Tamandua tetradactyla: one gene and its partners. The protein of the gene in region 3 purifies or fractionates together with the protein of the main gene of each other region. This does not show direct contact. Links are inferred from orthologs where the notes say so. Each region holds a gene or a part of one and is shown on either strand. Other genes may lie near its edges.

The links.
Region 1: the proteins of AXIN2 (region 3) and GSK3B purify together in Homo sapiens (affinity purification with mass spectrometry; 9 studies listed by BioGRID and IntAct, with this or other methods). This does not show direct contact. The link is inferred for Tamandua tetradactyla from reciprocal best matches to the Homo sapiens genes AXIN2 and GSK3B.
Region 2: the proteins of AXIN2 (region 3) and CTNNB1 purify together in Homo sapiens (affinity purification with western blotting; 4 studies listed by BioGRID and IntAct, with this or other methods). This does not show direct contact. The link is inferred for Tamandua tetradactyla from reciprocal best matches to the Homo sapiens genes AXIN2 and CTNNB1.
Region 4: the proteins of AXIN2 (region 3) and GSK3A purify together in Homo sapiens (affinity purification with mass spectrometry; 3 studies listed by BioGRID and IntAct, with this or other methods). This does not show direct contact. The link is inferred for Tamandua tetradactyla from reciprocal best matches to the Homo sapiens genes AXIN2 and GSK3A.

The regions. Positions count from the first base shown.
Region 1 is NC_135336.1:25,803,117-25,810,241, reverse strand, and holds the start of GSK3B (glycogen synthase kinase-3 beta), read right to left. Parts: upstream 3,015-7,125; 5' UTR 2,661-3,014; intron 2,655-2,660; exon of another isoform or gene 1,853-2,654; 5' UTR 1,553-1,852; coding exon 1,465-1,552; intron 1-1,464. UniProt on the Homo sapiens protein: Constitutively active protein kinase that acts as a negative regulator in the hormonal control of glucose homeostasis, Wnt signaling and regulation of transcription factors and microtubules, by phosphorylating and inactivating glycogen synthase (GYS1 or GYS2), EIF2B, CTNNB1/beta-catenin, APC, AXIN1, DPYSL2/CRMP2, JUN, NFATC1/NFATC, MAPT/TAU and MACF1.
Region 2 is NC_135341.1:46,094,338-46,101,449, forward strand, and holds the start of CTNNB1 (catenin beta-1), read right to left. Parts: upstream 3,013-7,112; 5' UTR 2,812-3,012; exon of another isoform or gene 2,602-2,811; intron 1-2,601. UniProt on the Homo sapiens protein: Key downstream component of the canonical Wnt signaling pathway.
Region 3 is NC_135332.1:8,456,899-8,464,835, reverse strand, and holds the start of AXIN2 (axin-2), read right to left. Parts: upstream 3,008-7,937; 5' UTR 2,909-3,007; intron 2,903-2,908; exon of another isoform or gene 2,785-2,902; intron 2,570-2,784; exon of another isoform or gene 2,405-2,569; intron 2,278-2,404; exon of another isoform or gene 2,165-2,277; intron 1,461-2,164; exon of another isoform or gene 1,373-1,460; intron 234-1,372; 5' UTR 118-233; coding exon 1-117. UniProt on the Homo sapiens protein: Inhibitor of the Wnt signaling pathway. Down-regulates beta-catenin. Probably facilitate the phosphorylation of beta-catenin and APC by GSK3B.
Region 4 is NC_135342.1:21,910,757-21,918,385, forward strand, and holds the start of GSK3A (glycogen synthase kinase-3 alpha), read right to left. Parts: upstream 3,013-7,629; 5' UTR 2,870-3,012; coding exon 2,587-2,869; intron 840-2,586; coding exon 652-839; intron 1-651. Other genes in the region: ETS domain-containing transcription factor ERF, read right to left, coding at 7,585-7,629. UniProt on the Homo sapiens protein: Constitutively active protein kinase that acts as a negative regulator in the hormonal control of glucose homeostasis, Wnt signaling and regulation of transcription factors and microtubules, by phosphorylating and inactivating glycogen synthase (GYS1 or GYS2), CTNNB1/beta-catenin, APC and AXIN1.

The DNA of each region.
Region 1 (7,125 bases), on a different chromosome or scaffold from region 3:
GAAGGGGGATTAACTTAAAAAATTAATCTGCCATTCAGCTATAAACCTGGACTCAAAAAGCCACATGATTTGAAATCTTAAATTCAATTAAAAGTAATCATTGTACATGTAATAGCATATATATATATATATTTTTAAATCTCAGTTCCTCAGTTTTCTGTTCTAGGCAGCAAGAGCTTGTTTTTTATCTCATTATGCCCCTCTCTGGAGGAAAAAGGAGACAATACACACATTTCTGACAAATTCTGGAAGTATATTTAAATAAGCTGTCATTAAACACTTCATCAAATATACAATAAACATCTCCACAAACAGAGATACAATAGAACATCAGATACTTAGTATACCAACCACCTCACGAACATGGACTTTTCAGCACAAATCCAGGACAAGAGTACAGTCTGGCAACAGCTCCTATCAAGCACAGCCCAAATAACCCTATTATATCCAGGGCCACAGGCTTTTGCAAAGCCGTGACAAAAAGAGCTAAATCCATATTCTTATCATTAAATTCATATTCTTTCTAAATGTAACAGGAAGCCAAGATAAGAGTGTTTTAAATAGTCCTAATAGAGGACCCCTGTACTCTAGAACATTTAAAAGTAATGAATGCAAAGACACCCCCAAATTGAACTTAAATGACAATGAATCAGTGGCAATTAACATGTAACCTAGTATTTGGCAATATGACATTACAAACCTCAAAACTTATACCTACTTTCAAGTTACCTTTTGACTAAACAAATTAGTGTTAAACTGGTAATGTCAAAATGGAAGCATAAAAAAAAGTGCATTAAACCACTTATTCAATTTAAGACAATGCATGTAGAGATGGTACTGCTGCTGGATAGCTATGGGCTCCCAAACGCCAGTTCCAAGGAGAGGAGTCAATGCTCACTTCAAACATAAAGGTTGGTTCCTGATCAAGTTCACCCCCGGATTAAGAACAATACTTTGTATAGTCACACAAGCAAGAAAAACATGTTAGGGGGATGTGATATTTAGAGCATCTATTAAATATACGAAACTGTATTCAATATCCTCCCTCACTCAAAAAAAGTACACTCCGCAAGCGTACATGTCTTATGAAACAAGTCTTGTTTTCTTTATTCAAGAGAATAAGCAAGTAAACACTTTCATCACTATTTTAACACGAAAACACTCAAAACACTCGATAAAACTGACTACCAACAGCAAGAAAAACTATTAAAAAACAAAAGTTTCATATCAATTCATCCAAATACAAATCCTATTCTGCCAATTCAAGGTTAATGAGACAGGGGAAGGGGATACGAGAGGAGAAAAGAGGGAGCTGCCTCATCCTTTACTGAAGACTAATTTTGCCCTTTTTCGTAAACCAGATTGTTAAATCGGGAGGCCCAAAATTTTTAAACCCTAGTATTTCAAGGTTCCGTATTCTAAAGGTGAGGTAGCGAAGGGGGGTAAATTAAAATCAATACTCACTGCTAACTTTCATGCTGCCAAAAGCTGAAGGCTGCTGCACTGGCTTGCAGCTCTCCGCAAAGGAGGTGGTTCTGGGCCGCCCTGACATGATCCTGTCTCCCCGAATCACCTTCTTTTCCTTCCTTCCTCCTTTTCTTCCTTTTGCTTTGTATTGGGTTGTTAGGTTAATGATAAATGCAGCATTAAGTTCTCCCACAGGAAAAATAAAAAAAGACTTCGTCCTCTTGGCTTTTCACTCCTTTTGTATAGCTATAAAAAACGATCGATGTATTTCTCCTTCAAGACAGATCGGTACGGATATTTAACATATAGATGATTTGGGGATGGGGAAAAAAAATACAATTCTTTCCCCTCCCTTTCCTGGGGGAGGGGAAGAAAAGGAGGGATCCTAAAAAAAAAAAAAAAAACTCACGTGAAACGGGGACAAATACTTGATTGAAAATAAGCACTTAGAATATTATATATTCCTCGGGGATTTTTTTTCCGAGTCAATGAAGAAGGGAAGCGGCGGAAGGATCACGAGTCTCACGCTTGAAGAGAAGGGGGATGGGAAGGAGGGAAGGAGAGGGAGGGGGTGCCTCGGAGATGCGACGGGAAACGCTGCGGCTCCGGCGGCGGCGGCGGCGGGATCTGGCGGACTGACGGCAGGGGCCCCGCGAACTAGAGGGCGGCTGAGTCGCGAGTCAGTCAGAAGCGGGCGGTGGCAGCAGATCCTCTTCTCATTGCGCCAGGAGCAGCTGCAGGCGGCGGCTGGATCCAGCGGCCATGGCGGCGGCGGTAGCGGAGGCAGCTCCCTTCAGACCCCAGGCAGCGGCTCCTCGACTGCTCCCCATACGCCGGGGACATGGGAACCCGGCAACCGCTTCCGTCCCTCGGGGCCCCCTCCCCCGTCCACCGCACCAGCGCGGCCGCCCTCCCACCCCTAGCCTCTGCTCCGTGTCCGCTGAGGAAGTGTCGGCGCTTTGCCCTCAGCCCGAAGCCTTGTCAGCGGCTGCGGGGTCGGCTACTCCTCGCTTCCCTCCTTCCTTCCTTTGTCACTCGGCCCGGGCGGCGGCAGCAGCAGCACAAACCCGCATTCGCCTGGGTCGGGGCTGTTCTGTGTGAGGAGCGTCGTCTGCGCAGTCGCCTAGCTCTTCCTCACCCCCCTCCCCCTTCCTACTCGTCCTCCGCCTCCTTCCTCCCCCACCCAGCCTTACCCCGCCTAGAGCCCCACCGCCCGCGTAACAGGCGTCTGGGAATCGCCGACCGAGCTCGCACCCGCCCACTTCGGCTGAGAAGCCGAAGACCGAGTTGGGCCAATCACGACGCCGTTTGTTTGAGACTCCTCCGGAAAGAGCCGATCGGCTTGAGGAACCAATTAGAAAGTGTCGCTGGTAACCCACACCCAAAGAGCGAAGATTGTCGAAGATAGCCGAACGGGATAAAGGTGGATTCGCCTTGTTCTATGGCTGGACGGAAGAGAAAATCGACAATGCAGCAGTGACCAATCAGAGTCAGTCGCCCTCACGAAAAAGCACGAAGAGTTAAGGACGATGAACCTGGGAGTCGCTGGTGAAATTGCGCGGTTGGGCACCGCTGCCTCTTTATAATTGGCTGAAAAACTCGGCTGGGATTATACCTCGCTGGGTGATTGGTGAGGGGAAAGGAGGCTTCCGAGAATAGTCTAGCCAGTTACGACGTCTCCTCCCTCGCCGTGGTGCGGAGCAGAAGAAAGCGAAGAGAGGACGTCTATAAAATGCCTTCTCATTGGCTTGAAACTTTGGCGCTGGTGTGGGGGGCAAAAGGAAAGGGAGGGAGGGCGAAGCTCTTAGCGATAGCCAATCGAAACTCACTGCCGTCTTATCGCAAGACATAGCTGTAGTGTGATTGGTTTTCAGCCTGCGGCGGCAGTCCTAGTATCTGGGAGAACCTTAACTGGAGTAGTGGTGCCAGCCTGACGGAGGTTTATGCGACTGCTGTCAGGCCGTGCAGGTAGCTCGGACTTTTTGCACCCCCATCCGAAATGTCTGCGGTGGGTGGGACTGGGCTCCGAGCTTTTAAACGGAGGAATGTCGAGGAGTTCTTCCACCAAATAAAGGCTGTCTGCGGGGCACGGCCAAAACTGCGTGTCTGAGGCTTCCCTGAGCCCGGGATCGTGAGTCCGATGTACCTGCGTCTTCCCCAAAAGGGCTCAACGAGCCAAGGGAGCTTCCTTGGCAGGATGCGAGTTTTCACCGTGGCCGGGTGCTAAAGTGGAAACAAAGCTTCCAGAAAGGCAGCATCTCTGAGCGGTCGTGCCCCACCCAGCTGCTGGAGCCATAGCTAGAATGAGGCCGACTGCGCCTAGATGCGCGCGTCCAGTTTGGGCCTTCTGGAAACGCCTCTGAGAAATGAGCTCATGCTGGTTGCGCGCGCTCCTTGTGTAGACTGTGTGGACTGCAAAACCGGTCCCAAAAGTAGGTGAGAAATTCCGTCAGGCCGCATGTTCGGAAGCCTCTGAGGAAATGGAGAAAAAAATGAGCCCATAGTGGTTGAAGTCCTTTGGAACTGGAGTGATCTGTGAAAGTCCAGTTTGAGTAGATTTCACACATTCGTTCTTCTACACTAAAAAAAAAAAAAAAAAAGTGATTACTTTGGTCTGCCACAAGGCAGTGAAATATGGCTATGTCCGGATAGGCAAAGTAGAACGGAAAGTTATCCTGATTGTGAACCGTTGGTGCCTGTAATTTGTACCTGCAGAATCATCCCTTTCTGTTAAGATACTATCTCAGATAGTACCCGTATTTGATCAGATTACCTATTTCTTTGTAAAAGCTGATGAGGGACTTGGGACAGAATCAGGTGACCTTTGATGGGAGACAGGAAAGGTCTAGATAGAATTTGCTGACTCATATGTCTAGAGAAGCCAGACGAGTAAAGCAAATCAGTGAAGCTGGCTTGATGTAAGGTAATAGGGAATACAGAATGGCAAATTGAAGTGTCCACGCATCACCAGAGGAAGCAGATGCGTCTCACCTGAAGAAATGTATGTCCAGTGTCCTGAGATAATCGCTTCCTTTTTTACCCCAGGAGAACCCCTAAAACTGGGTTTTTGTGTGAACTCTCTGGATGTTTAAATGTTAGCAATCAGTATTTCGAAACACCTCGGGCCAAGCAAGAAACATCAGGGGTAACCAACAGTTAGTTCATCAGTTTGTAGTAGTAAAAACCCTTATTCTTTGTAATGAAGAGAGAACATGTAGTCAGTGGATGTCATGGCTATGCGAAACACCTCGGGCCAAGCAAGAAACATCAGGGGTAACCAACAGTTAGTTCATCAGTTTGTAGTAGTAAAAAACCTTATTCTTTGTAATGAAGAGAGAACATGTAGTCAGTGGATGTCATGGCTAGGGTAAAGAATGTTAAAAGCATAATCAGGGAATGGTGGCTTTGTCTGCTGAATGGTTCCTCTCCATGCCAAGTATCAGGAAAGACCTTTAGTGCTGCTACCTAAAATGCTATGAGTCGGGTGGGCCATGGTGGCTCAGCAGGTAAGAATGCTTGCCTGCCATGCCCAAGGACCTGGGTTTGATTCCCGGTGCCTGCCCATGTGGAAAAAAAAAAAAAAGAGTAAAATGCTATGAACCCTTTTAGCTTTGAATCTCACCTTCCTCTTCTGTACTCCGTATTCCAACTCCCAACTATACCATAGGAAACAAACGTTTATGTCATACAGATTAATAGCATACTTGCTCCTTTGTATTTAATAGTACAAAAGTTGTGTACATTGAGGTTATAATTACTTTATTGTTGCTGCCTTCAGTATTTTGAACTGATGTTGTATAAAAAAAAAAAATCAGACCAAGAGGGGTAGATTTTATAAGAAAGAAGAAAGTGTACTGCAGTCCAAGAATTAGGGCTTGAAGAAGTTTATGAGAAAATACAAAACTACTGCAACTAACATTCAGTAATTGCTTTTGTGAACTTGCAAACCTATTCTTACTTTCCTGCTTACTGTCAGCCACTTTATCAGTTTATATTAATTATAAATAAATTGTTTGCAATGTTCCATGCACTGTTCTTAAGTATTTTATAAATACCATCTCATTTAAATTTCATAATATTCTTTGAAGTACTATTTTCATCTCTGATCCTCAGATAAGGAAACTGAGGACAAGAAACGTTTAGAAAGCTAGAATAAAAAGTAGAACTGGGGTTCGGAGAGCCTATTCTTAGCGTCTCCTGTGTACTTCTGTCCCTACTTCTCCTGGTACATGTTGCTTTTTCTATAATCTAAACCTTATACTTTCTTACTGTGTATTTCTGGTTTTGAACAAACCTTATAGAATATCAGTTTGTTTTTCTCTAGGGCCCATCAAGTGGTGCCTTGCAGAGATTAGTGATTCTAAGCCGCAGTATCAGTAAACTAAACAACTGGAAAAAGATAAAGGGTGGAAAGCCGGTTGATAGAGAATGGTTGAGTAGGGTAGTGGGTAAGAGAGTCTACAAGATGGTAGTTATAAATTAAAATGCACAATGAACTGACTTTATAAATTCTGTAGTAATAAGCATTTGCATAGCATTTTGAGGTTTAGGAAGTATTTTAACATGTGTTATATCATTTTGTCCTCACAGCAAGCCAGTAAAGCTATTCTCTTTTTGCAAATAAGGAAGCTAAACACTAGAGTGAGTAAATGAGTTGCTCAGAATCACCTAGCTACATTTTAAATTGAAGTTTGAGGAAACTGTAGGTAGCTTTAATAATGAGAGTAGCAAATAGAATATGAGTTTTTTTTTTTAATGAACCTGGTGGCAGCCATTCCAAACATAAGTCTGTGAACAAGCTCTTCCTAGGAGCTCATTTACTTGACCAACATATATTAAATACCTACAGTGTTCCTGGGTGCTGCCCTTCAAATTTAATAAACAGATTCAATGCACTTCCAATCAAAATTCCAAAATATTTCTTTGCAGAGGTGGAAAAATCCAATTCTCAAATTCATAGGCAAGGTAAGAAATCCTGAATAGCCAAATATATCTTGAAAAAGAAGAAGAAAGGTAAGGACTCACACTTCACAATTTCAGAATTTATTACAAAGCTCCATTAATCAAAGCAGTGTGATAATGGCACAAAAAAACAGACATACAGACCGATGGAATAAAATTGAAAATTCAGAAGTAAACCCACATATCTAATGCTAATTGAATTTGGCAAGGTTGCCAAGTCCACTCAGTGGGGAAAAAAGATGGTCTCTTCAAAAATAGTGCTGGAAAAACTGGATTTCCACATACGAAAGAAAGAAAGCAGACCTTTACGTCATACCATGTGTTGGTTTGAAACTTGTATACCCCAGAAAAGCCATGTTCTTTAATCCTATTTAAATATTGCTGGGTGGGATTTTTTTTTAATTAAGTCATTTCCGTGGAGATGTGATCCACCCAACTGTGGGTGGGACCTTTTGATTAGTTGGTTTCCATGGAGATTTGTCTTCACCCATTCAAGATGGGGTTGAGTACTGGAGTCCTCTAAGAGGAAACAATTTTGGAAAAAGCGTCAGAGCCAACAAGAGACCCAGACATTTGAAGATGAAGAAAGAAAACACTCTCAGGGAGCTGTTTGAAACAAGAAGCCAAAGACCCCAGCAGATGCCAGTAACACACTTTCCCAGCAGACAGAGGTATTCTGGACACATCAGCCTTCTT
Region 2 (7,112 bases), on a different chromosome or scaffold from region 3:
GAGGGCTACATGAAAACAACTAAGTTAATACAAGTAATGTTTTCAAAAACAATGTTACAAGTTAACATGTACAGCTACAGAATAGTTACCAATAATTTTTATTAGAGGTTTGACCTGCCCTAACTTGTTCATCCTTTCTACCCTGGGTTAGCAATCAAGCATGCTTGTGACCAAGCTGAAAACACAAACTTAAAATTTACCACCTGCTTATCTATAACTAGTATTTGTAACTAATAGACCAGGGAAGAAAATAAAAGTATTTTGTAACTACAGATATATATTGTTTCACTTCAGTCACACAAAAGTTTTGTCAGCATGAAGATATTCATATAAATTTCACAGCTCCTCCCAAGTATATAAGAATGATAGTCCAAGTTTTGAATTCTCCTCGTTCTGGCTGCAACAAAACTTATGCAACATCCTCCTTCCCAAACAGCAACAAAAAAGTTTATTTACATATAGATTTTCTAAGCACCATATCTCAAAATACCTTGAAACTTGTCCCCTTCATGTTATCCTTTCTATCTTGGGGAAAGGGGAACAATTTATGAAAACAAGTATATGGCACTCCATTTACAACAATTTTTACTGCAGTCATCACTAAAAACAGAAAGCTCAAATCACTGTTCAGTAAGTTCTAACACTGGAATGTAAATTTTTCTACATAATGATCTTGGTAAATGAAGCAATCAGATAATTAGTTCAAAAGAAAAAAAAAAAGGAAAACGGATGCTTCTTGACACCTGAACCCTGTTAAATGCTTCATTTTTATTAGCCACTATATGAAAAAACAAAAGTTGGTTACCTCTGAAAACGATTTAAAATAACTGTTTTAGCCTCTGGAAGATTCTCAGGCCTCCGACTCCTTGCGGAGTCTAAATTACATACTATGCTAAGCTTTCTAGCACAGTTCTTTATTTCCTCCCTCAAGGACTTCAGACTTGAATAGTTTGAGCATTCCTTTAATCCTATAGAACAGTCTTCTGCAAGTTTTTCAAGTTCTTCAGTTACTGTTGCAATCACTTTAGGGCCTTGTCCTTGTATGTGGCCTTCAGAACAAAGACTAGGTCAAAATAATGAATATCGGGTACAAAGTAATCAAATTTTGTCTAGTGTGAAAGAACAGTCTATAAAATAAACCCTGACAGAATTTTTTTATACCAAAGATTTTGTGTTTTAAATGTAAAAGTAAAATAGATTTATTACTAAGTTAGTTCAGAATAAGTTTAAACACTCTGAAATACGAAAGTTTCACTAATTTAAGCAAATAATAAACAGCAGCATAATGCAATTAACCTTTCAAGCTATATCTAATATTACTTTCTTAGAAAAAAAATTAAGACAACATAAGGATATCTAAAGATATATTAATGTTAACCAAGTGACAATCAAATGGCTTCCTAAATCCTAGACAAGATACTTTAATTTAGTATCTGAAAAACATTAGCCGAGACTATCAAAGGAAACGCTGCTGTCTCTTCAAGCTGATGTCTAGTCTAAGCCACCACTATTCATGATACAAAGCTCTCATTTCACTAAAACCACTCCTCGATTTCCTTTTGCCGACCTCTGCATACCAGCAGCCCAGGCCCCCTTCATTCACCACGCAAAAACTCAGGGGGAGGGGAGACCACAGATGTCTGGAAGATACAAAGTATGAGACAATGCCTCCCTCCAAACGCCAACAGAAAACGAAGGAAAGTACTACACCAGACTGACAAAGCTCTCAAGCCGATTCAGAAGCGGTCTGTGGGAACTTAACTTCGAAAGCCTCTGTTCAAAAAGTCCTTTCCCCAGACAAAACACCGAAAGAAGTTGCCGTACTTAAATTTCATTTGGACAATTTCGCTCCACTGAAAAGAAAACTGCTCCAAAAATCAAGTTTAACTGTCACAAAACTGAGTAAATTATTTCTACGAACAACATTTTCCAAGCAGAGGCTGAATCCCGCGGTTCATTTATATGAAACCGTAAACCGCGACACCATTCCCCCCTTATTTTACCAAGGTCTCACACCCACCGCCATAAACCCAGAAGACTCCCAGTACATCAACACGCGTCGCTACTGGAATCACCTGCACGACACGAAAAGATAGAGGTACAAGACACGGATTTGATACGTGGAAACCCTCCTGGCGCATCGCACCGGCTGCACTAAGAGTTTGGTTCCTCTGAGGTTTAAAGTTGGTACGGTTTTAACAAGCTCCAATGCCAAACTCACATAGGCTGGGCATTAGAGCATGATAATAATTCTCTTGAGGAACGAAAGGAGGAATCTGGAGAGAAAGTCCAATGGCCCCATCCCTACCGCAGAGGGCACCTAGCGGGGAGTGTCCCGGCCCCAGCGCCCAAACCCCAACTCCCCTCTTGGGCTGCGAAGGCGAAGGCTCCCACCCCCACCCCGCCCCCCACCCCAGCCCCGGCGTATCCTGAGGCGCAGGGTCCCTCCCCCAAACTCGGCCGCGGCCGGGGCCCCGGACGGAAACACGGCTCCCCCTTCCCGCCCGCCATCCGGGCTCCTGGACGCATGCCTGCGGCGCCCCCTCCTCGCAAGCGGCGCCCCCCGGGTCTCCTAGGGGCAGCGCGACCGGATCCCGGGCACCGCCACCGCCCTCTACCCCCCGAGCGCGGCCCGCCCCCGCCGCCTCCCGGCGACCTCAGCCCATACCCCCAGGCTCCCCAACCCGGGCCTCCTGGCAGCGCCGGGCCCACCTCCCCGCCCGCCGCCAGGACTGCGCGCCGCGACGAAGTTTGGTTCAGAACAAGAGGCGGGAGCAGCCCTAGAAGGTTAAGGAAAGAAGCACCAAGCACCTCAGGGGTACAGGGTCCGCCCGCCGCGAGAGTCTGGGCGTCCTCGGCCTGCGGTCGGGGATCGGCGGGGACTGGAGCTCCTCGGACCTCTCACCGTCTCCGTCTCCGCCTCCCCTCACTCTCCGCTCCCAAGGCCTGGCTAACGCGCTGCCACAGACCGAGAGGCTTAAAATGGCGCCGCACAAGGACCTCTTATAAGACGCGCTGAAGCCACTGTATCCTGCCGCCGCCGGCATGGCGCGGAGCGTTCCACCGCGTGAGTGCAAGGGGCGGGGCGCGGGCGGGCGGCGGAAAGTAGTTCCAGCGACGCGAAGCCCTTCGCTGCTGCTTGTCCTTCCCGGGCCGGGTGGGCTATCCGCTTGCTCCCTGTGCGCCCCTTAGTGGGGTGGTGGGTGCTGCGCGGAAGCGGAGTGTAACTTAGGGTGGCGCCATGGTGCGAGCTGGGAAGCCGGAGTCCCCGCGGGCTGGGGTCAGGGGAGGGCAGCACCGAGATGAGCTTCCACTGTCCCTAGCCCTACGCCCCCCACCCGGTGTGTCCCCCGAGCAGATATGGGCCTCACTGGGCGCTGCCCGCGGGAGGCAGCACCTCGGCCCGGGCCCTCGGGGACCGCGCGGAGCTGGTGGACTTGCAGGGCGGGTCTCGGGAGGATGGAAGTTTGGGTCTGGGCCCGGCAGGCATCGACTGCTGCCTGGACGCCGCCGCTGCCCCCCCACCTCCCTCGTCCCGCTGTCTGTTCGGAGGCTCCGGCGGGGAGAGAGTTAGGGGCTTCCGCCGCCTTTCCGCTCTGTGCCACAACGCTAGGCGCAGGGCCTGGCTCGCAGCCTACGCGCCCGCCACCCCAAAGAGCCCCCAGCTGTCCGAATCGTGGACCCCGCGTCCCAGTCCGCTGTTCACCGTGGCTGTGGCCGTGACTGACCAGGGCCGAGCCACCTACTATCCCACTCCCGAAAGCTGTGAACTCTCGTTAGAATGTGCGCCAAGCCCGCAATTCAACAAGTCCTTATAAATGCCTACTGTGAACAAATGACTAATCAAAATGGATTAGCTGGAGACCCCTGCCAATTAGGTTAATTTTTATAGATTCCATTTTTATCTAGTTCCACTAAGTATCAGATTTATTTGTGGAGGTGAATTTCTCCGGTAGTACTTATTTGAGAAATCCGTGTGTGTTTATAGAAGGGGCTACCGATTAGGCAGGTTCGATTTTTTTTAAAAACTAGTTTTCTATTCAAAAACAACAACAACAAAAAACCCATTTTCTAATTCGTTTTGATAGGCTGAAGTTGGGTCTTCATGTCCTTTGGAAATGCCTCCATTGTAAGCAAGCAAGATTGGCATTTGTCGAAACTGAAACAATTATGATTGATTCACTTTCTTTAGTCTCATTTTATGTTTTTTTTTTTCCTGTAAAACGATGGGGAGAGTACAACCAGCAACAGTGAAAGTTATCTTGGGGCTTTTATCCTAGGACTATAATTAATGAATACAAACAATAGCCTTTGTACATAAGTACAGGCATGAAACCTATTTAGTCATTCACTGAAGAAGTGAAGGGTAGTTTTAGGCATAAGTAAGTGCTTCAAGGCCAATATGGTCTTTAAATAACTTTTTTTGTCTGCTTTAGATATTTTACTGTATACAGTGGTGATGTTGACCTCCACACCGTAGCACTGTGTGGGCGGCTGTAGTGAGTAAATCCAAGCACTAAAATGATGTTCAGTGATCCATTGTCTAGAATGACTTTCTCATCTGTCTAGAAAATGGCTTTTCTCATTTGCCAGTAATTCTGTAGAATTAAATGTAAATGTAACTCATGGTTGTGATCAATTTGGCTGGTCATAATTCAAACAGATTTAACAGAAGAAGGTATTTTATCAAAGCAATGTTTTTGAATATGAACTCGATAGTAGAAATGGCATTTCCAAGTACTGATTCCCAATTTTAATTCTCATATACAGAATTAAAGAATACAAATAATGATTAAAACCATACATTTTAAAATCAGATGACTGTTTAATCAATAGTAGTTTTTTTTAAATAGATGTCTGCTTTTTCTATGTTCGGTTTATATTTGCTGATTATGGCACACTGTTAAAACTGGTTCAGGAATATTTGTACTGTTAGAAAATCAAAAGGATTAAAACAACCATCTTTATATTTCTCTATTGTGTCATCAAAATAATTGAAACAGTTCTCTATAAATTAAACATTTTAATCTAAATTTAGAAGTGAGTTTTTAATCCCTATTGACACTTGAAGCAAGCAAATAGATTAAAGGCAAATTTTGCATCAAAACAATAAGCTGTTTTTCTATCAAGTTTAAGTTTTGAAGAATTACTGGCTGACTAGCATTAAGACGAGTTAAAATTAACAAATTGCTCAGATTTTTTTATTTGCTTCTCTTGTAAAACAAATTTTTCCAATTGTCTCACCAAAATTATAAGATGAATAACTTCTGTGAAATGAAGGCAAATACTATCATTAAACCAAAGAGAAAGGCAAATATCAAAATACCTGATGAGTTGGTGAAATAAGTGATTTTATAAAAAATGGCTTTTAAAATTTGACATTGGGCAATACATTTTGTAAAAGTTTGCTTGGTTTTTATCTTTTTACACCTTTTGTTTCTACAGCCAGCCCACTTAAGTTTGACATAAATCAATTCATTTTGTGAACCTGCAACAGACAAATGGTTCGAAATTTTAGGCTGTATTCCTGAAAACCAAAAGCTGTCTCCAGCTGGTATAACAGAGAAGGTATTACTTGTCATAATTGCTGATCATTGGCATATCAAACAGTGGCTATGCAGAATCCAAACAGTAAGTGTCTCTTCACTAAAAATACATGCATTTGAATCACCTTTAGGCATAGAAATAAATGCCCAGATTGTTTTGCAATTCAGAAAACTAATCAAGCCAGCATTATGAAGAAGTCCTGTTAATGCTATCAAATCCATTAATTAAACATTTATTGCGCACTTAAGACAATGAGTGTGTTTTAGAAAGAGGAAAGTGAAAATTGGCTCCTTTTGATTTTAGGTACCTTAAATTAATGTATAATTGTAACTGTTAATTAACCTCACTCGAAAATAAGCAGAAAGAATGAAAAAAAAATAGCTGTGAAACAAGGGTGTGGTCTCTTCTGGACTCTCCATCCAAATCCCTTTGGAGAATCACCTTCCAGCAGAAAGGTAAGTCTATTTACAAACAGCAAATCCTGACTCTCTAAGAAGGCCTGTTAAAAATTTTCCTTTATGACAACCCAAAAGCGCTAAACAATAATCAGGGCCAGCTTTTCATTTAACAATTCATCAAGTGGGCTATTTATGGATTGGAACTTTTAATTTGCAATACAGCATCTTGGGGTTCAGTGTAATCTTTTGATTTCTTTCCAGCTGAAAAGACCAAGTACTTGTAAATACCTCTTATCAGACTACATGGTTGGCTATTCTCATGCACAGAAGTAATCTAGGAACCCACTGGCAAATTTGGCGGAGAGTCGCTGTGGAATGCTTGCATCTCCTGTGAACTGCAGAGCGAGGGAGGGGTGGCAAAGGTGGTGGAAGACGATGGCAGTGGTGGTGGCAGTGGCAGCAGCAGTGGCAGTTATGCTCATGGCTACTACAGTTAAGCCAAGAACAGTCTTCGTGCTGTGAGTTATGTGTTCTCGAGACCTTAATTGGTTTGACACAACAGTCCTTACCATTCTAAGGAAGTACATTTTAATGGCTACCAAGAAAGGTGAAGGACAAGCAGTGGAGACATCATCCATGATATTCAAGGAACACAAAAATATACGTGTCTTAATGTTTCTAAGAACTAGGACAAATACCGCCACATTCCAAACACATCATTCTTTGGATGCACCCCCACACAAAAACCCCAAACACACACACACACACACACACACACACACCCCTCTTTTAAAATTTTCAAAATGGTTGCAGATATTTCATTCACAAGAAGGTTTAAGGCGTTTCCCATCGCAAGAAGGATTAACTTACCGGAGGATTCTGGGACTGCAGATGTATACTGCGGCAAAATCCTAAATTTATCGAAAAAAAATGATTTCTGGACTCCAGCTGCTAAAAAGAATAGAATAATAGTAAATCATGGATAAGATTAAAACAACAAGCCATTTTCAAATTCCAAAGTGTTCAGAAAAAAAAAGTAATTCTTTTCTTTTAGTTCATTTCTTAAACAATGCAAATTTTAAAGTAGCTTTCTTTCCAGAGCACGCAGCGCCATGAAATCGATAATTTTTGATCTTTCGGTTAGTAGGCAACATGGTGAGCTATTGC
Region 3 (7,937 bases):
CCCGGGCTGGCACGGTGGGGTCTCCCCTTCCTCTCCCGGAACCGGGGGTCTTGGGGCATCCTCGCGGAAGCTGCTGCTGGGGTCCGGGAGGCGGGTCACCAGCACGGCGCTACTCATGGCGGGGGAGGAGTTCTGAGTTTGGCTTTTTTTTCTTCTTCTTCCAGTTCCTCTCAGCAACCAGCGTGGTCTCTCTTTCCCTCTCAAGTCAGCAGGAGCTCATCTGAGCCTCCTCTCTGCAAAGAAAAGGAAGGGGGGGAGGTGGGGAGAGAGAAAAGGGTATTGATCTAATCAAAACCAGATCTACCCAACATCAAAGCAAGAAAGTAAACAGGCTTTTCAACTCCTCAAATTCAAATCAAGCAACCCAGCTATCTGCGAGGTGCTCATCTAAAGTATAAGACGCTGCGTTTTCAAAGGCGAAACCTGAGCTCCCTGCACAGTTTTCCGGGGGGGAGGGAGTGGGGAGGGGACGGGATGGAGAGGTGGGAGAGAAATAAGATGGGAAGGGTTGATGGGGGGGTGACAGGGTAAGGAGACAGCTTTCCAAACACCCGCCTGGGCCCCGGTGCAAGCAAGGCGTCCCGGGAGCACCTCCCTGCTCCCCTCCCCCCAACCCATAGCATCAACTCCAAAGACACACTCCGAGTCGCCCGGCTGTGCGCAGGTGAAACCAATTTCGGCAAAAATTTCCTAACTCGGCTCTCCGTACAGATAACTTGAGCCCCAAACGTGCCCTTCCTCGGCATCTGGTTCCCATTCCCCCAGCCACCCCCTTTCCTCTGCACTCCCCCCTTCCCACTCCTTAACAATTCCGAAGATCCTCTCCCGAAAGAAGCCCGCCCAACACAAGGCGGAACGGGCTCCCGACTCCCAGACCCAGGAGGCAAACGCCCCTCAACCCAGATGGGAATGTTCGCCGCGCCCCACCCCCGCCCCCGCCAAGAATCCGGTTCAGTTTACGTGTCTCCATCTCGGGCTCCCCCGTTCCCCCAAACCAAAAAACCCAACTCACTCAGCCCTGACTTTGATCTTCAAACTTTGCAAGAAACCAGAGAAGCCTCGGGCCCTGCCGCCCCCGTCCTCCCCCCAGCCCACCTCCCGGGGCCGCGAACCCTACAAAACCGGATCAGAAACTGTCTCACGCTACCACTGTCTATGCCAAGACTCCCGAACTCTACTGATCTCAAGCCTATCTTTTCCAAAAGAAAAAAAAAGTCTTATCTAGCCAATAAACAAACCGCTTTCCTTAGCACGGGAAGGATCGCACTAAAGAGGGCAGGGTCGGGCCGGGGAACCCCAGGCCGGGCAACGCGGCGGAGCCGCGGGCAGCACCGGTTACCCGAGCGCTGGGGAGGTGGGGCTGCCTCGATACCTGGAAGACGAAGGCGGCCCCAGGCCGGGCTCTCATCTCGGCCGAGACCCTCAGGACTGGCCCATCCCCGCCCCTGCCCCAATCGAGCCGAGCGTGGGGCAAGAACCCCAAGAGGCGCAAGCAGCGTCCGGAGTCCGGGCGCGAGTCTGTCCCCGGCTCCGCCGCTCGCAGAGGCGTCCGCAGAAAAAGCACGGAAAGCGGCGGCCAAGTCCAGAAATGGCGACGCGCGCGGAGTCTCCGGTTCTCGGCAAAAGGGGCCGCGGCGGCGAGGCGGCCAGGGGCGCGGGGCGCGGGGCGCGGGGCGCGGGCGGGGAGGAAGGACGCGGAGAACGCGAGCGCCCCGGGCTTGGGCCAGTTCTGCGCGCGGACTGAGCCTGGCCCGGCGCTCGTGGCCCCTTAGCGCGGACCCGCGGCAGGGAGGGGAGAAGGGGAGGAAAGAGAGGGGCGGGAGGAGAGGATGGGGCGGGGGGGGGCTGGGGAGGGAGGGGGCGGCGAGGGCCTGGGGGCGCCGCCACCCTTTCATCTCACCTTCCCCAGTGCACTCCCGCGCGCACTCGCGCGCCGACTTACATCCCTCGCGACGACAGCGCCGCGACCCCCGGGGTATCTGCCCCCTCTCCGCCACCCGGGCCCGGGCTCTGGGGAGGGGGCTCCGGCGCGGCCAGGCCCAGCCCCCTGGAGCGCTCGGCGCCCGGCTCGCGGCTCCCCTCCGCGCGGGTCCGCAGCGCGCCCCGAAATAGCTCTCCAGAAAACTTCAAAGGGCCGCCCCGCCGACGCGGCCCCGGCACTCACCATTGATCCGCGCGCGCGCTCCGCGGCCAAACCTCCAAGACTCCCCCCGCAGGGCCCCGGGCCCCCCCCGGGCCGGCCCCGGCGTCGGGGAACATGGGGAGTCGCGCGGCGGGAGTGGGGGGGTGGGGGGGAGGCGGAGAAACAACAATCTCGGGATTAGAGGGAAATCCAGCGGCGAGGGAGGGGCCGCGCGGCGCGCTCCGCCCCCCCTTTTATGCAAAAAAAAAAAAAAAAAAGAGCCGCCCCGGCCTCCGCCCGCGGGCGGCCCGGCACTGCACACAGGCCCCGCGTCCAGCAGCCGCTCCGCGCACCAAAGATCCTCCGGGCGCTTCCAACAAAAACTGCGCTGTGGATTTAACTGTGCACTTCAAAGGCGCGAGCCGAGCGCACGGTCCTGAAAGGGAGGTACGCGCAGGCCGCGCCCCGGCCGCCCCCGCACCCCTCCCCGGGGCCGCGCGGCCTGTCCCATCCCCCGCACCCCCGCGGTCCGCCTCGGCCCCGGCCCCACAGGACCCTCTCCCGCTACCCCAGGCCCACGCCGGGGTCGGCGCGACCTCTCCCTCAGGCCCACGCGGGGCTTCCTCTGAAGAGGCTCTCCTGGGGCCGACATCCACCCCCACCTTTTACTTCAGGGCTTCTGCAAGGGGAGACGGACGGCTGGCACGCCGGGCGGCCCCCCGCTCCATGCCTTTTCGGGGTTATTTTTATTGCCAGGCGCTCGGGTTGTTACTGAGTTGCCAGGACCTTATCAAAGCGCAGCCGGCTCCAGCCGCCTCCCCCCGGGCCGGGTTTCGGGAGCCAGTGATCCCGCCGCGCCAATCACCGCCGCGCTCGGCGGGCCCGCGCCGCCCGCCTTAAAGGGATAGTGCCCGCCCCGGCCCGCCCCCGCCGCACGCTTAGCTCCCGCGTTAACCCTTCCCCGGCCTTCCTCCGCCCCCTGCCAGCCTCCCGTGGCCCCAGTGGCTTTCTCAGCCGGAGTTTCTGATTTCCTCTTTCAAGTTCTCCGGCCTCTTCGCTCTCGCCTCCTCCCCCTGCCTTCCCTTGCCGTCCCCAGCTCTGGAATGCAACAGTTTATTGTAGCATTCAGGCGGTCGCAAGAACTGCAAGCAAGCAGAATGTTGGCGTTTTTTTCCCCATCATCAAACACTTTCTACCTCTATTAAAGTTTCCCTGGGAATACGGGCTTGGAGGACTTTAGAAAGGGAGTTCTAGCCCTGGGCTGGACTGGCCGAGTGTCAGAGGGCGCCAGCGGGCCGGGATGCGGAAGGCGTGCGCGTGCGTGTGCTTCTATATCTGACTCTGGGTAACTGCAGGACCAACGTGCGTTTGTGGATGTGAGAAGATGGGGCTGTGAATCTCCTCCCAGTGCTGGAGACCAGTCCTGACACCAACTCCCTGGAGATGTAACCCCTGCTTCCCAGCCTTGCTGGCCAGTCGGAACCTGCACTGCGCACACATTCACCACCTCTCTGGAACATGTCCTCCGCCCTCTCCCAAGCGTTCCCCATCCTCCCATATGTTCTATATTAAACAGACACGAAGTGTCTTTTTTCCCCTCCAGACACGCGGTTTTAATGTACTGAAAACTCGCCACCCCACCGTCGCAGTCCAATTCCTCCCCACATTTGCCCAATAATGTTTATGGGACACAACCTCACTCAAGGTAATAAGAAATATGCCACAAAACCCAGAGTACTATTTATTTCGTCATGCATTGCTACAGAATGATCCCTCATGGGATGATGTCATAGTTAACTTTGCTTCCTCTTAGGAAAGGGTGTGAGCCAGGGACCCCCGGACTGTGGGGCAGAGCTGCCAGCATCAGAGCTGGGCAAGACTTTGGCTCTCCAGCCCTGCTCGCTTTTTCTTGACTTACTGTCTTGTTGAACTTAATGTATGATGAGCCCTTTTAAATGCAGAGGTACCCCTAACCTGGCAGAGGCCTGTGAACCCTCAAAAAAATGCAAGAAACTTTCTCTCTGTCCATTCAGGTTTTCACAGAAAACGACAAGGGAGATACACCACCCATGACATGCTGGAAAGCGGCACACAGAGGGCCAGTGTTCCACCCACCCCCAGCCTACAATGGGGGCATGAGAAACTCTTGCAGCTCCGGCTGCTGGGCTCTTCAGCCCCTGAGTGCCAAGGCAGGTGTACCTCTCTCCTGGAGCACTTGCCCTGCCTCTCTGTGTCCGTGGCCGCAGGGCCAACCAGGAAGACCAGAGCAAGAGTGTGGCCCAATGACTCATCTTTGCCTTGGGACAGCAGCAGGGCGTGAGGAAGCTGGAAGCAGGTCTGGTTCAGGCCGGTGCCCTCTAACAGACCAGCCTTCCGGAACCCTGGAGGGTGAATGGCCCACAGCCCCTCTCGGCAGCCAGCCTGTGCGCACATGCGCGCTCTGAGCAGCTGGAGGGCACCCAGTGGCAGCGGTACACCCATTTGGGGCCACCCCAGGAGAGCGAAGAGCAGAGCTGTCCCCTGGGTTAAAGCCTGTGGTTCCAGGGAGTCTTTAGGCCACAGAGGGTGTTATTACAGGAACGAAAGTGTAGCGAGGCCTCGATTGCCTGCAGACACATCCACAGTAGAAAAAACAACAGTAGTGCACTTGCACTCACGCAATGTGGGGGGGGGGGTGAAAAATCAAAACATCCAAAATCAAAATAAACAATGTTCACAAAGAGGGGGATTTGAAAAGGGAAGTGGAAACTTAGTCTTCATGGGTGGTTTTCCTCCCCTCCCAGCTGTCCCCACTGACCCTCCACTACCCCTCCACCATCCTGAAGCATCAAAGGTTTGGCTGTAGCCAGTGGGCTCCCCCTGAACTCCCTCATCACCCCAGGCTGCAGCGGCAGGAAGGAGGGACTGGTGATGGGGAAGCCAAGCAAGGCCTGGTTTGATTTGCATCTTCTCAGTTATAATCCCTCGGTGAGCCTGGTTTCTAGAACAGGTGCTCGGTCACCTCAGGCCAATGACCCACCCCCACCCCACCCCGCCTCCTTCCCCCTGCCCTCTCTCCCCTCCCCCTTCATATCTGGTCATGCATTCCCCATCCAGCAAGAGGGCTGGCCAAAGGGCTGAGCTGCCAGAAGCCCTCTCTGGCCTCTGGGTCTCTGACCACTTGTTGATAATATTTCTAAGCGGAAGACCCAAAGTTCTTTGCTTATACCCAGCCCCTTTCTCAAGATAGCACAGTTTTCCATTTTCCCCTTCTCCCTGGCAGCAGCGCTATCATGTGACTGGTTGTAATCCTGCACGGTTGCCTGGAAACTGGAAAGCAAGGTGATGGATTTCTGCACATGCTCACTGCCCCCGCCCCCAGCCCGAACCCGCTCTTTAAAGAAAAACCCGACAGAGAATAAACAGCCCACTTTGCCCAAGTGCAGACAAGTTTAATAAAGGAGGGAGTGATTCTTTTCTGGAATTATGTCCTGGGCTGAAATTCTAGAATCCCAGGAAACCAGGGCTCAGGGCTCCCTGAGAGGCATCCGGCCAGATCTGTGACCTTTAGTCATCCCCACAAAAAACCACCCTGGAGGGAGCTCACACCAGCTGGGGCTCCAGAGGATCTCACACCCAGAACATCACTCTCTAAGAGTCTGTAACTTGGTCTTTTATTTCTTTGGAAAAGGGCTGCCTTAGACAATGTACCTTTGTTTAGGGAGAGAGGTGGAGAGATACACAGGGAAAGATACACCTTTCCTGAGACGGCCGGTTACCTAGCTGTTCCAAGTCTCCGTTTGTGCACCTGTAGAGTGGAGGAAATCCCCCCTCCAAAGGCTGTTGTGAGATGGGCCATAAGGTAAGCATAGTAGGTGCCTGGCACATAGTAGGTGCTCAGAACAGGGTGGTTATTTCTGTGCAGACAAAAGCCTTTGAAAGGAACTGCCCCTATTCAAAACAAAGACAGCCTCCAATCAGGAGTCACACTCCCGGGGGAGGGGACCTGGAACCTGATCAGGAAGGGCCTTTAAAGCTGAGCCAGCCCAGCTGCCAACCCTGCAGAGGGGCCCGGGCTGGGGGGACAAAGGAAAGCTGTGCCTTTCTGCCTTCTTTCAAAGAGACTCCTATCCTGGTCCTGAAAAGGTATAGCAGAATTTTCCAGCCCCAGGAGCACTTAAGGTCTTGTCTAATCCATCCCCATCGTTTCAGAGACAAGAAAAATTAAGAAAGGATCTTTCCGAAATCATTTCGCCCATATCAAAGCTGAGCTAGAACCTTCTAGCGATCCCAGCTTCTGGCCCACCCTCTTCTTTTCCTCCACGTCGTGGTGAGAAGATCCAGGGCAGGATTGGGCTAAGAGAGCTAAGCATTTAGATCCTTTGGCTCTCAGGGGAGGGCTAATAAATGTGCTTTGGGATCTTTCTCCAAAGTGTCACAACAGGGATTCAGCCTGAAATTCTTCTGAAGCAAACTTCATTCAGCCCCTATCAGCCTTGACCTCAGGAACTGGCTGCAGCCTGGGTGGTCCCACGGAGTCTTTTCTGGTGGGAGCTGTTTCCCCGGGCAGCTCCGTGAGGTTGGAGCAGCCTAAGGGAGAAGAACTTACAGAGCCTGAGAGGAAGGAGAGGAATGAAAAGTAGGGGTCAACTTCCTGCCACTCTCTTCCTCCTACTTCTTTTCCTCTTTGCAGAGAGGGGTTGGGGATACCAACAAGGACATTTTGAATCCACAAGGGAAATGTGAAATTTCCCTAAGAAATAACTACCCATAGAAATGTTGGGGAAAACTTCTTTTGTTAGCAAAATCTTTGGTATATTAACTTTGGATATAGTTAATTTAAACAAAAACCTTAAACTTCTTCATTTTATTTACTTTGAGGTGTTTTTAGTATGTATTATAAGTGATGCCACAAACTGTTGGATATGTTGGAGTCACACCTTTCTTCATCTTGGCTAGTTTAGTAGTTGGCCTGAGCTTAGAGCTAGAAGAGACCATTAATATGAAAGCAAATCTGGAAAGAGACTCTCTTTTCTGAAGTTATCTCCTCCGTAATGTCAAGCAAACCCAAAAAAGGTCATTTTCAGAAAAGGAACTGAAAAACGGGGGGAAAACATCTCTAAAGGCATTACTTGAACAGGTGCCACGTGAAACTTTGCTAACAAATAGATCTGTAGTCCTGGGCCGTCCCCAAAGATTTTTTTTTTTCTGCTTGTGAGGTTTCAGTTTGTTCATCTTAAACAACTGGAAAGTGAAGTTTTATTGAACTTGAAATACGTTTCTCCATTTCCTCATGTCAGCTTGTCTCTTGATTTCCTTTGAACATCCCTACACACTGGCCGATTGCTTTCCCAGACCCCAGGGGGATGGCTGCCATGAGGCAGGCTGCTCCCCCGGATCCCAGGCAACCCCCAGAGCACCTGGAGAGGTTCTTGATTTTGCTCCATGTCGAAAAACCTTCTGTACACCATGTCTCCAATGTTCTGCTTTATCATATAGCCCGCCGATTCTGTAATGGCGCCTCCTTCCTTACCTGATGGACTGCCAAACAGTCAGGAGTGTAGAGTGGGTGGCAAACCCCTCTCAAGAGGAGTCTATACTTGTTCTCCATACTTCCTTCCCTCTCCTTCTCTCCTTGATCCATCATAGTCTCTTTTCCTCTCTCACAGCTCCACGGAGACCATTCTCAGCCTGGTAAAAGGCATCCTAACGGCTAAGTCAAATGGGCCCATTTACTCTGTATATTGCTTGGCTTATCTGAGGCTCGCTCCTCCCCACTTATGTGACAGGTCCTTCCCCATTACTGCCTTGCCTCTCCAGCTGCTTTTCAGAACAA
Region 4 (7,629 bases), on a different chromosome or scaffold from region 3:
CCATGTTCTTCTAGTTCCCTGGGTCTCCACTAGCTCATAGAACATCTTTGTATGAATGACAAAAGGGTATCCCTTTCTCAAGGTGACAGAGACCTGCACCGAAGCGCATGGTTTGTGAGTAGGGGGCAGAGAACTAGATTTCACCCTATATCGCCAAACAACCTGGGGCAGAGCGCAGCCTTCAGGATCTTCATAAACATCAGCAACAGCCCTGCCAATTTCCTTTCTCTGTCGGCTGGGAGGGGGATGTTATCTAGTGGTTAGGATGCAGGGCTTGGGAATCACAGGCCATGTTCTAGTTTTGACCTCAGGCAATTCTCTTATCTGAGTCTCAATTTCCTCTTACTTAGAATAGGAGTAACTATATAGTACCAAACCTTAATCCTTAGAGAATTTTTATGTAAATTAAACAAGAGACCCTGTAAAGCAGAATGAAAGAATGAAACTGCGCTTTGGACTCTTTTTGGACTCCTGGATCCCACTTTTTTCTCTTCTACACATTTCATTTCCTTCCCTTCTCTGGGCCATGCTCAGAGCCCCCTCTGAAATCCCAAGCTCTCAGCTATCATGCTGGGGCTCTCTCACCAGTAATGCCCAGTCCCCAAACTTCCTTGTCCCCAAACCTCCTTGTCCCCATTTCCCCCAAGTTACCTTGAACCTTTTGTCCTGGAGAACCTTCTTGATGGCCACCAGCTCCCCAGTCTCAGCCAGCCGTGCCTGGTACACGACCCCAAAGGAGCCATTGCCAATCACTTTGATGTCTGTGTAAGCCACCTCCTGGGAGCACTCTGGGCCCTGGCCTAGGGTGGCTACCACTGTGGTCACCTTCCCGCTGTCACCTGGGGGACAAAAGGGACACACAATTGACTAACCTTTCCCCTCTGAACATTAACCACCACCACCACCACCACCCCCCAGAGCTTTGAGGGGAGAGGGGAAAAGAGATCTGTGTGTGACCTCTGTCCCTTCTCTCTCCGTGAGAAAGGTGGATGCTGGAGCTCTCCCAGTGACCTTTCCCCTCTCCCCTTCATGTAAACCTTAATTCTGCCTCCTCCTGTACATGAAGATATTGACACCTAAACTGTTTTGCAGTTCAAGGACTAGTTAACCCCAATTTCCAGTAAGCCACAAATCACTGGTCTTACTATGGGGAGACACTGACACACACACAGACATACACACAGAGACACACAGAGACACACACACGTTGAATCTATCCACTCTGGGCTTACTGATCTTTGGCCCCTCCTGTCTGGGGAGAAGCCTGACCTAACCTCTTCCACTTAAGGGAACAGTAACCTTGAGCCCTGAGCTACTCCTACTCTGGGAAAGCACTAACCTTTGGTTTCTCAGTTTGGCAAATAGTGACCTTTAAGTCCTACTGGGTAGAGCAGGTAACTTCACCACTGGTTCTTGATGACTGAATAAATGAACTCTTCTAACATGAATGGTAATGCCCTGACCTCACTTTTTGGAAAGTTACCCCTTATTCAAATACTTTCATGTTAGAAAACGCACTGATCTGACCTCCTCATCTGGGTGGTTCACAGTCCCACAATCCTCACTGTATGGATGGTCCCTAACCAAGAAGCATCATATTGTTAGAATAGTGAACCTAATCTCTACTCTTAGAAGGCTATCCTTAAACTCTGATTCCCAAATTCTATTCTCTTAAGGCAGCAAACCTTCATGCCATTGCTAGGAGATGGTCACTGCTTTTCTTGGATGAAGCTGCTGACCCTAATTCACTTTGAAGGGCCATCACACTTTCTTTTGGAAGATGACCCTACATTGTGATTTATTTCAAAATCAATGACACATGCCCCAAAATAATTATTGAAACTTATAACCTCTGGTCCATACTCTATGGGGGAATTGTGTCCCTTCATTCCATTTTTGTGGAGACCCACCATTTTTTTTTTTTTGAAGAGCAGTGACTATGGACTTGAAGGATACAGTAACTCTTAATCCCACTTCTGGAGGACTGGTGACACTTGTCCTTATTTCTAAGAAACAGTAACCATTAATTTCCACCATTGGCGGTACAGTTCTACAAACTGTGAAAGAGCAATGGCAACAGACCTTGTATTTTAAAAGAGAAGACAACCAGGACACCAAGTTTGAAAAACTCTGTCTTATTATTTGGGGACACAATAATCCCAAATCCCTGTTTCTAAGTGGTGTTGACTCTTCTCTGAGGGAGAGCAAATTCTGAGACCCCTTTGTGGAAGGGGGTGGTGATCTTAATCTTGTTTTTGTAAGAGGACAGTATAACAATGAATTTGTTCTCTAGGGGATGGAATGTCAGATTCCTGTTTTTAAGGCTCAAGAGATCAAGATCTAAGTTTTGGAAAAACAAGAACCTGTGACTCCTTATTTCTTTGAGGGTTAGTAATTGTGATCCTAAACTCCAAGCGATGGTACCCCCCTAAACGCATTCCTCCGGAAGGGAGCAAGCTCACACACCAATTTGGGGAGGCACAGTGACCTCAGGTTCCTATCTGGGTGTACGAAAAGAACTGATCGACATTTGAGGGGCCTCGGGAACCCGTATCTCCACCCGCCAAGGGCGCCGTCAGTACTCACGGCCCAGCTTCACTCCAGGCGGCGGGAAGGTGGTGCCCGCGCCGGGGCCGCCGCTGCTTGTTCCGCCGCTGCCGCTGGGGCCACCCCCGGAGCTCGTGGGCCCCACGCCCCCACCCATGGCCCCGACCGACGCCTTCCCGCCGCCGCTGCCACCCGGGCCGGAGGCCGAACCCCCGGGGCCGCCGCCGCCACCTCCGCCGCCACCACCCGGCTCCGCGAACGAACTGGTTCGCGCCCGGCCCGAGCCCCCGGGGCCGCCCCCCGAAGGCGCGCCGCCGCTCATGGCGCCGAGAGCAGGCCCAGGCTGAGGGGCTCGGGCTGCCCGGGCTGCCCCCGACGCCGCCGCTGCTGCCGCCTCCCCCGGGCTCCGGCCTCCTCCAGGCCTCGCCGCTCGGGCTCGGGCTCCGGCTCCAGCCCAGCGCCCGCCGCGGGGCACGCCGGGAGCTGCAGTCCGCCTCTCCGGCGCGCAGTCGTCACCGCCCTCGGCCTGCGGGCGGTAGAGCGAGTCGCTTGGCACGCCGGGAAATGGAGTCCTGGGTACTCCGTCGGCCGACTGTGCCGACGGCCGACCCTACAGCACTTTGGGAAACAGAGTCTGAGCGGCACACTCACTCCACCACGGCAAGGCGTTTCGGAGGTGTGCCTCAGAAATATAGTTGCAACCGCTCCATCAGGGAGCGACATAAACCTCTTGCGTAACCGGAAGTGAAGTCCAGCCTCTTAGTCCGTTGGGCATACATGCCTGCCCGCGTTAGGTGCACTCTAGGAAATTACGCCCGTTGGCTCACAAAAATCCGCCGTGTGGCAAGCTGGGAAATGGAGTCGTTGCCACACCCCCACTGCAATGCGGGTGTAAAGCGGTTCCAAGGCACTCCGGGAGATGGAGTCCCACGTGGTCCATGAGCCTCCAGTGGCTACTGCAGTTCCGGAGATAGGCTAGAAAATGAAATAGCTATGGCTCGCCTCTACTCCATACGCTCGGCCGCAGTTCCTACCGGGAAATGTAGTTGACACCAAGGCTTCAGCGATGTGTCTACAGCGAGCCTTTGCGGCTTCTGGGAAATGGAGTTCAAGGCTGCCTCCCCATCGACCGAGGGGGTAGGGGTTTACCATGAGCCCAAAGCATGCTGGGACTAGTCCAGCCCGGATCCTGACCTGCGGTGAAACGAGACTGCCTGGGCTTGTCGGGAAATGGAGTCCAATGAATACCACCAGGAGTGTGTGGGCAAAAAAAACAAAGCAAACAAACAGAACCCCCTGGGAAATCGTAGACCTGTTTCAGCCTTCTTCCCCAACCCCCAGATACTAAGACATGTAATTCCCAGGGGCTGCTGGAAAATGTAGTCCAGCACTCCTTCAAGTTCTAGATGTCTACATTCCGGGAAGAAAAAGAAAAATGCGCCTCCCACCCAAAGAATCTAGGAAATTAAGTTCCCAACGATGTCTCAGAATACTACACAATCTCCGTATATACGCTAGCACTTTCTAGCAATGTGGATCATACTAGGAGTCTAAGCTGAAAGCTAAAAGAGACTGTGTCTTCCGCTTCCTACATTACGGAATCCGGGAGGGCTCAAGACAAGGAAGCCGGTTGGAAGAAGCAGCATCAAGCTTTGTGCATTCATTGAATTACCCGATTTATCGATTAATACCAGGAAGGAGAATGTTCCAAAGGACGCTGGGAAACAGAGTTTTTGTGTCTCCTTCCCACCCCGCCTCCGGAAACACTTGAGATGAACACGCTCTCAGCCCCTCCCGCCTCGTGAAATGGTGGGAAAGAGCCTGGATTTCACTTTAATCTGAGCCTAAGTGTATACAGCCCTGCCCTTTCGGAAGCCGGGAGAAGGTTCCGTCCACTCGATCTATTCCTGAGTGCATTTCCCAGTGGACACAGTTCCCGGGGACAGGACAGGGGGCAGCGCTGGAGCCGTTTCGAACTACATTATCCAGAAGGCAAAGTACGGCCACAGTTCCGCTCTTTCTCACTGCTTGCGACTTTATCACGCACAGCTCGGAGCAATTTTTTCTGGGAGTTATAGTTTCCCAGCCAAGCAGCGCCTGCTGCCCTCTGACGGCAGCTCTGAGTCGAAAAGCAAAAATGTGAACCAAGCCCGAGGGCTTGGGGAACGCGAACCTGCGCGCCCACAAGGCCGATGGCCCGAACGAGGCAGGGTAAAGACTGTTACTTAACGGCCAGAATCCGCGGGAAGTGCGTAGTGGGCCGCGCGTGGGCAACCGCCACCGAAGAGCCTGGGGTCCGCGAGAGTCTCAGGGCGACTGTAGGAAGAAATCTATCAGGCCATTCATAGGGGCTGAGAACGTTCAAAGAAGGGTACTAAGATAGGCTGTAAATGTTTGTGAGTAGCCTGAAGGTGCCTAGAGAGGTGACAGGGTCTTTGATGGGACTTTCTACTTGGAAGCAGAGATCTTGGAAGACATGGAAGGGACCAAGGGTGTGGTCTCACAGGAACTTAGCTTTTCAGGCCTGCAAATGAATTTAAGTGGGTCATTAAAGATTGGGGTTGCCGCTGGAATTTTGAGGCCAGGTGCCAGACAGTGTGGCATCCCACTCAGCCGGAATCTGGAGCAATAAGTCTAGTTGGACCCTGGCCTGAACAGGAGAGCAATTCTGGAGATGAGGACTTTTGAATCCATGTTAGACTTGGTTAGAGTTGTTTTGAAGGCACCTGGTCTGGAGGCTGAAGCTACTAGTCAGGGTCCTATCCTTCCCCCCAATTATGCCATGCCCCTTTCTCCATCACCCACCACCACCAACTTCTCAGCTGCATCTGTGTTGCCAGGAGACATACCTCAGCCCAACTTCCAGAAATAGCCCAGCGAAGCTGCTCCCAGTGGTCCCCACCCCAGGGAGTGACTTACATCACCCAGGAGAGGGAGCAGTTGCCTGCAGGCCACCACGGGAGCCTAGGTTTCCTGCCAGTATCCCAGCCCTGGATCCTCTCTTCATTGCCATCCATGATCTGGGACCACCCACCCTGGGCTGGCAGTAGATGAGGTCAAAGCAAGAGTGGGTAGCAGTTACCCAGCCAATGTTCTTTCTCCCTCAGGGTTACACAGGGTGGGATTTCATGGTGAAACCAATCCAGCAGCCCCTGAGCCCTACCTTCTTTTAGCAGGTGTGTGGCTTTAGGGAAATCCCTTCCCCCTCTCAGCCTCAGGCACCTCACCTCCACTACAGAGGTCAGGCTCTTCTCTAAGGGCACTTCCGGCCTGAATTCCTCACTCTCATTCTCTTAGCCATTATCAGAGAACTCCAATCTCTGTTTCTAGTTTCACAAGCTCACCTCTCAGATCCTGTGATGGAGTCCCTGATCTTGGGCCAACCATTTTAGCTTCAGGGAGCACTCCATTGTCAAAAGAACTTGGAGTTTGTACACAGAAGTCCTGGCTCAACTTCCTACAGCCTCATGGCCTCGAGCGTGTCAGTCGTTTTAACTGTGCCCATCGTCCCTACCTCACTGGTTGTTGAAGGAGCTTCTAGCTAAGTACTTGGCACAAAGTAGGCCAATCAATGACAACTATAATTATTGAGCCAGTCCCTTCTCAAGTTGCTGGCTTGGGGTGTTCCCATGGTTCCTCAAAGATCATTAGGGTTCCTGGCGAGGTCTACATTTCAAAACACAGTGGGCCATGTCTCCAAAGGACTCCCCAGATTAGTTTAGAAACACCCAGAGGAGGGTGCCGGTGTTAGAATGTGAGAGTGCAAAAAAACCATCTCTGATTCTCTTGGGGAATCGGGATGTGGGAAGGAGTCACAGAACCAGGGAAGGGCATTTCGAGCCATCTAAACTGCCTGGGCAACAGGGTAGAGATGAAGAGTTGAAAGCACTTTCATGGAAGTGCAGGTCCTTTACAGAATGGGGCAGTGGTCAGCTCTAAGGCCAGAGTGTGACCTGAGGTTTATGTAGCCCTGAGGTCAGGAGATTTTTCCCAGGCCGTTTTGACCCAGTCATTTGGGCTCAGACCCTCTGGCCACAGATCTACAGGGGCAGGTAGGGAGGTAGGACCCAGACCAGATCCTTGTCCTTCAGAATCAAGCAAAGGCTGTGCCCCACACTTAAGACAGATGACCGCATCAAAAGGTCCAAAGTTTTATTGTTTGGAATACATTCTCCAGCCGCCCCTCCCTCACTCCCTCCCCACCACCCTCCATGCCCAGTACAGAATAAGGCTTGACCACAGCCCCCACCCCCACCCCACCCGAGGGGCCCCTGCTGGGAGGCAGAGGGGGCTTCCAGTTTGGTTTCAGGGCAGCCCATTCCCACCCCACCCCCACCCACCTGCCCATGGGCCAGTCCTAGGAGCAGCTAAAGGTGAAGGGGTTGGACCGGTGCTGGGTGGGGAATGAGAGAAGGACAGCAGGCACTTGAAGAGATTTGTGGCCCATGGGTGGCACCCCTCACCCTCTTCCACTTCCCACCGCCCACCACGCAGAATTTTTGGTTCATCATAAAATTGTCCCTCCCTCCCCTGCTGTTACCTTGTGGGGTATGAGAAGCCCAGGCACTCACAGCCCCTGGAGGGGCAAGGAAGGCAGGGTTGGGACTGGGAATGGTTGTGGGGCAAGAGGGAGAGGTGCAAGAGGCAGAGGCCAGGGAGGGAGACAAGGCTTTACTTCCTAAGCGATTGTAATAAAAAAGTTCCTGGGTATTGAGACCAGAGCCTCAATTCAAATAAAAATCCCCAGAACGGCAGTGGCCCCCTTAACCTCCCCCCTCCCGTCCTCCTCCCTCCCCCACCTTGCCCAGAGCTTAGAAACCCACAGACAGGGGACAGTCCCCAGTTCTGGGCACCCACCCATCCCGACCATTAAAAAAAAAATTAAAGTTTTATACAAAATATGGGGGGGGGGGCAGGGAGAGGGAGGAGGCAGAGAAGAGGCAGCTGCCCTCACCTCCAGGGCATTGGGGGGTGGGGTGGTTAAGGCAGCAAAAGAAGCATGGGTATGGGGGCACATGGGTCCCCTGCCCACAGACCTCAGGAGTCTCGGTGCTCCAGAGAGAGCTGGGCCGTGGCGTGTTG